Saccharomyces cerevisiae S288C: one gene and its partner. The protein of the gene in region 2 interacts with the protein of the main gene of each other region in a pairwise test. Each region holds a gene or a part of one and is shown on either strand. Other genes may lie near its edges.

Region 1 (3,760 bases), on a different chromosome or scaffold from region 2:
CATAAAATCTCGATAAATTGTCATCATTAAACTCGATCTCTTGTCCTTTTACTATAGAAGTCATAATCGTCCTCAATTGCTCTTTGTCTACATCGTCAGTATTAGTATGGAACTTAAGGCATATTAACTGTGACGAATCGTCTTTGATTCCGAATTTGAGGAAAGCATCACTAATATTGGAAGTGGGTGAAAGACATAGTACGCACTCGGAATTCAAATTTCTTGTTCTCATCTTGTTATATTTCACTTCTATTAAGGTCTTGTAAATTGCAGAATACATCTGCTCCCCCGAACAGACTAACCGGGGGTCAATAAAGGCAAAGGATGTCGACAATTCACTCATTTTAGAGCGTATTTCTTTAGCATTTTTAACCTGTTCAAACAATGCTAGTGAAACCTTGATATCAGGAAATTGCGGTATGATGGATACTACCATGATGATTGTATAATGGGCAGCGACGACGTATATTTGGTTATATCGACAAATTTGTTGACCGATAAAAGATTGTTGATGTATATTTTGGTTTGCAATTGAAATTTTCGCGCAAAAGATTAAACATGAAATATTGAAATCAATGGTATTAATGATCAACGAATATTACAGATCATCAATTAAAGAAACAAGCATTGTCAGAATCTAAGCTGGTTATTTTTTGGGAAGGACAAATTATGGACGAAAACAAAATAATCGACCAGTTGTTCAGTAAGGAATACACACCGCAAGATGACTCCGAGCAAGCCAAAAATGGAGATGTGTCGTTATATGGGTTATTAGATGAAGTAGCGAACGGTAGGCGGTTGATGAACTGTTTGTTTCATTCACCTATGCAAATGGGGAATAAATTGAGTACCGACAAACTTGATGGGAAATGTCGGCAAATACAAAGAGATTGGATTGATGAGGAAAAAACCATAACTATGAATTCTGGCGCTTTACAGCTGGATGGGCCAGTTCTATTTTCCTGGAGTCATAATGTAGCACCTACTTCTCATCAAGAAACTATAAATACAACCTTCAAGCAGGGCTCTCCGAGCAGAGGAAGCAACAAGCCCAAAATTACTACTACCAGTCAGTTATTTGATAGAGCTTCTGCTGAGATTGATAAGTGTATAAAGCCCAATAGCAAAAGTTGGATGGTGGAAGAAAGATTTGAGAGAAATGAGGCACATACAGCTGATGGCAAGAAACCTTCTACGTGGGCTAATTCCGATTTCAAAGTGGACCCGCTACAGAAATTCGTTGTTAAGGAATTGCCCAAAGAAAAGAAGAAATCAGACGGTGATAAGACAAAGAAAAATAAGTCGAAAAGGAAGAGTTTTTTTGGATTTTGGGGCCATTCTGGTTCTAAATCAGGTTCAAAAAAGAAATCCGAAAAGCCTATAGAGGCCAAAAATGAAATTCAGGATGAGGTAAGCCAAAAATCTGGCCTATCACCTGACGATGATACAACTTTCAGTGATAAAAATACCATCCAATCAAAGCAAGAGAGTATGAGTGATCAACAAGCTGAACCCAAAGTACACGAGCCCGCAGTTACTAACACTGGATGCAGTGAACATGATGATGGTGATGGATTTGAACAGGTACCTGCACAATCTAGTTATCATCCATCCAGCGAGCCCAGCATTGCCAGCACTCCTTCATTAACTCTAGATTCATTCATCCCATTACAACCAAAGAAGAAAATATAATAGATGCTTGTAGGCTTCAACATCTATTAGAGTCATCGGCGACGAGACGCCAAAAAATAAAGCGCAAAATAATCACACCCATTTTTTTTGTCGAGAATGAGAAGGAGATGGCTTAGAACTGGAAATATAAGGGATAGTGGCATCACGAGAAGCTGTTGTTCTGTTTTTTTAAAGTGTCAATTGGCCTGATTATACTCATAACTGCATTTTCATCACTTCCACGATCACTTGAAGTTGTTACAGCGAGTGTTTATACCTTCAATTCTCGTGTCACATTTTGCTATGAATAGGACTGTCTTTTTGGCATTTGTATTTGGATGGTATTTCTGTTCAATAGCTCTCTCCATATACAATAGATGGATGTTCGATCCGAAGGACGGATTGGGTATTGGGTATCCCGTGTTGGTGACAACATTCCATCAGGCTACTTTATGGTTACTATCCGGCATATACATTAAGCTCAGGCATAAGCCAGTGAAAAACGTTTTAAGAAAGAATAATGGTTTTAACTGGAGTTTTTTTCTAAAATTTTTACTCCCTACGGCAGTCGCTTCTGCAGGTGATATCGGGCTCAGTAACGTTTCCTTCCAGTATGTTCCCTTGACAATTTATACAATTATCAAATCTTCGAGCATAGCTTTTGTCCTTTTATTCGGCTGTATCTTCAAGCTAGAAAAGTTTCATTGGAAGTTGGCACTTTCAGTAATAATTATGTTTGTTGGTGTAGCATTAATGGTTTTCAAACCAAGCGATTCCACCAGTACCAAAAACGACCAAGCCTTGGTCATTTTTGGCAGCTTTCTTGTCCTAGCAAGTAGCTGTCTTTCTGGGTTAAGGTGGGTTTATACGCAGTTGATGCTTAGGAACAACCCAATTCAAACTAACACCGCTGCAGCAGTAGAGGAATCTGATGGTGCCCTTTTCACGGAAAATGAAGATAATGTCGATAATGAACCTGTTGTTAACCTCGCCAATAACAAAATGCTGGAGAATTTTGGAGAATCCAAGCCTCACCCAATTCATACAATCCACCAGTTAGCTCCTATAATGGGCATTACTCTGTTGCTTACCTCGCTACTTGTGGAAAAACCATTTCCTGGTATATTCAGCTCTAGCATATTTAGGCTTGATACGAGCAATGGCGGTGTCGGCACGGAAACTACCGTCCTATCCATTGTGAGGGGTATTGTTTTGTTAATTTTACCTGGTTTTGCAGTCTTTTTGTTGACAATTTGTGAGTTTAGTATTTTGGAGCAAACGCCCGTGCTGACCGTATCTATTGTGGGTATAGTGAAGGAACTTTTGACGGTAATATTTGGTATAATTATTCTTTCTGAAAGATTAAGTGGTTTTTACAATTGGTTAGGAATGCTTATTATTATGGCAGATGTATGCTATTATAATTACTTCAGATATAAGCAAGATCTATTACAAAAATATCATTCAGTTTCGACACAAGATAATCGTAACGAGTTAAAGGGATTTCAAGACTTCGAACAGTTAGGAAGCAAGAAAATCGCACCATATTCTATTAGTGTCGACCTAACAAATCAAGAGTATGAGCTTGATATGATTGCTCAAAACGTTAGTCGTTCATCCCAGCAGGTCTGAGAGCGATATAGTAAGAGAGAGAAAGAATAAAGGCAAAAATTTAAAACATGTATACAGCATACTTAAAAGTCCTCTAACAGGACATAAGCAAAGCACATGGGAATAGACAATACATCCGCACATAATTAAAAATATTTTACTAGATAGATTTTATACGAAGGTTCTTCACACTTTTTCATATATACTTTATTGACAGTTAATAAAAGAACATTATCAAATTTATACCTTTGCGTTTTAGACACTAAATTATTGAATACAGGAAAGAAGAGGCACTTAGATAAATCTTTAGAAATTTACTTATTTCTTTCATTTAAATTGGCCAATGCTTTTGGATCCATTCAACTGCGGCCGTAAAAATATCGATGCGCTTGCATTGTGTTCAACCTCTGTCTCGCCGAATCTTTAGCTGAAGTAAGGAAGAATTGTTTGATAATTTTGGTTAGGTAAATAATTTCAC
Region 2 (3,293 bases):
AAAGGGCTTTAGCCATGATATTGGCAAGAGGGTAAGTTGTGATGAGGTAACAGAAACAGAAGCACCGTCAAATCCGTTCCTAAATGTCCTTAATTATAAAGTAACAACCAACGGCGAGGGCAAACGAGATTCCTTTGAAAATGGTAGAGATTTACACAGAGCTAGTTCCTCAGACGGTATATATATAGCACATCCTTATTATGGGATGGCGGATCACGAATCCGGGAGATTTTCATACGTATCGTCATACAATGAATCTGCGGAGTCATCCATTGAAGAAACAAGTTCCAGTGCGTCTACTATTACTCGGCCAAATATTCAGCAAACCAATAGCTTTTTGAGAGAAATTATTTAAAAATAGAAAAAAGTGGATTCCAAGATTTTCGTACTTCTAAACAAGGCTGGTACTTGTTGCTATTTCTTTGGAATTATTTGTAAATTTATGCACGAAGCAGATAGAGTTTTATTTATTCAACAGTATTTATATAATAAATATTGATCTTACTATACAACTAGATTCGTATAATCGTCTGTTTCGTCACAGACGGGAAAAGAGGGACAAAAAGAGAAAATGTTAAAAATATTATGGCCTATTTTTTGGCGTTCTTCCTCTTTTGAGCACCTTTAGATTTGTTATCATTCTTTTTCGCATTGTCAACTTTCTCAGTCTTTTTACCGGCATTGGCAGCTTCTCTTTCTTCTTGAGCATAAAACTCCTTTAATCTTTTTTGCAAATCCCAGTTACTGTACCACAAACCAATTTGTAGGATGATAACACCGGCAAACATAACTAATAAAATTATGTTGGAGGAAGCAATAACTGCCAAACCCTGATTTTCCGTAACTTCTCCCCAATTATGGCTCACAGAACAGTCGATACCTGTTTTCACATTAGTGAGAAACACACAGATAGCCAACACGTACAACCCCAATGAACAATACTCAAACATCTGCAGTTCAGGGTTTGGCTTGAAAACCTTAATTGTACCACCAACTAAGCCAATACCGGCAACAACGCACAAAGTAACAATCACCGGCAATGGAGTCTCATGTAAAATTTGGTAATGTCTCAGTGCCAAATCGAAATGCTCTTGAGTAGAGTTAGGATTAAATAAAAGATGATAATCGTATGGCATGTTACTGAAGAAAACACCCATTAGGAACGTTGTGGCCGATAAGATCATGGCCGTACCGATAGAACAGAAATCTGAATATGAGAACATCGTTAGAGTTTTATCGTATCACGGGATTTTATGCTCTGTAGTCCAATGAATTTACGGCTGTCTTCCAAAATACTTAAATCTGTCCTTTCATCAACTTTTTATATTTTTCAGAGTTTTTACACAACCCGAAAAAATTGTTATCGTGTATTAATTTTAGTACATTATAAAAAAAGATGGAGAGGGAAAGAGCCACCAATTACATTGGCGAAAGGTGATGGTGTAAAGTAACGGCAACCAAAAACAATTATGGATGGAAAACTTGGTATGAGAGTACTATTATTACGAACTCCACATTAACTCGATTCACCAAGTCCTTTCCCCATACGTTTACCCGGCATTCCTGAAAATTTTCTAAGATTTTTTTCTTCTTAATCGATGAGCTTAAAAGGTTTTCTGAGAAAATGAGAAAGTAATCTAATGTAGAGGACAGGATAGAGATTGAAGACGTCTACAGCTAAAATGGGGTCCGAGGAAGATAAAAAGTTGACCAAGAAGCAGCTCAAAGCTCAGCAGTTTAGAAAAAGTAAGGAGGAAAAAGATCAAGAGAAAGACGTAAAAAAAGAGCAAGCACCAGAAGGAAAAAGACCCAACAGTGCAGCCGGAAATGATGGTGAAGAACCCGTGAAGAAAAAAAGAAAAACACGTAGAGGCCGTGGTGGTAAGGGCAAAAATGGTAAAAAGGGCAACAGATTTATTGTCTTTGTCGGTAGCTTACCTAGAGACATCACTGCTGTTGAATTGCAAAACCATTTTAAAAATAGTTCACCCGACCAGATCCGCCTCAGAGCTGACAAAGGTATTGCATTTTTGGAATTCGATGCTGACAAAGATCGCACCGGCATTCAAAGACGTATGGACATTGCCTTATTACAACATGGGACCTTACTGAAAGAGAAGAAGATCAATGTCGAGCTAACTGTTGGCGGAGGTGGTAACAGTCAAGAGCGTCTAGAAAAATTGAAAAACAAAAACATCAAGTTGGATGAAGAACGTAAAGAGAGGTTGACAAAGATGATTAACGACGGCAACCAAAAGAAAATCGCCAAAACTACCGCCACTGCAGCTCAAACCTCTGGAACAGACAACAAGCCTGTTCCTGCAGGAATTCATCCTGATAGAGCCAAACTACTTAAATGAGTACAAATTTAATTTTATACGCCATGTATCTTAGACAAAAAGAAAATAAAGGGAAAAACATAAATAATCGTGCAGAATCATGCTACTGCCAAAAAAAGAAATGGCAAAGATGCCCAATACGTAAACTCTTCCGGAAGCAATAGCGCCGCATTATTACCGCTGCTCTATTTCACTTTATCATGAAAGACGAGACGGCTGGTACTTTTTTTTCCCCAAATCGGAGCTACTTTTCCGCACTTCAAGTCCGGTGGGAATTTTTACTACTACCCCTTAATCAATGCACTCCCCCCGCAATGACGTACAGGGGTAACATGTCTAACATTTAAGGTTACGGCTGTTAGCATATTGGGGGTTATTTGAATTATAGGAACGCCAAGAAAAAGGACAGAGGGTAAAAACATTCTCGGTGCTGCCGGATTGCTTATTAAGACGTATCCGTTAAACAATCTCCGCTTTTTTTTTTGTCTAACAGCCGGCTCTCTTTGGCTAGTCTCCATCCCTTCGTCACCTTCGGCTGTGGTCACACAATAAGGAAAGGTGCAAAAAAAAAAAATAAATACGAAAATCTGGAAATTGAATTCTTTTCATTAACATTCATTCACTCACTGAACTTATTGTCAATCGGAACATATTTCCTTGCCTTTATGAATTTTTGAAAAGAAAAAAGTTAATAGGAAAAACTAGATAGATTGCAAAAACGTTCACAATAGCGTACGTAATCCTTTTACTTATCATACGGAGTGATGTCGTTGTCTAGAATCCTGCGATATAATCAGAGAAATAACAAAACTACAGCTTCCTTGACTGCAGAACACGCCTATTCCGATAATTGGGCATATTCCGTCTCGTTAGGCGATCCCACTAGTGTTGGTGTGAATATGGCTGCTAAGACGGGTGAGGCGCTAAATAAATCATATGATTCCGTTTTTTCTT

What was found.
Region 1: the proteins of SHR3 (region 2) and YMD8 interact in a protein complementation assay, tested with the Saccharomyces cerevisiae proteins (2 studies listed by BioGRID).

What each region holds. Positions count from the first base shown.
Region 1 is NC_001145.3:202,318-206,077, reverse strand, and holds YMD8 (Ymd8p), read left to right. Parts: upstream 1-1,974; coding exon 1,975-3,303; downstream 3,304-3,760. Other genes in the region: CGI121 (Cgi121p), read right to left, coding at 1-436; LFT1 (Lft1p), read left to right, coding at 670-1,692.
Region 2 is NC_001136.10:76,356-79,648, reverse strand, and holds SHR3 (Shr3p), read right to left. Parts: upstream 1,224-3,293; coding exon 591-1,223; downstream 1-590. Other genes in the region: YDL211C (uncharacterized protein), read left to right, coding at 1-355; NOP6 (Nop6p), read left to right, coding at 1,683-2,360; serine/threonine protein kinase PRR2, read left to right, coding at 3,104-3,293.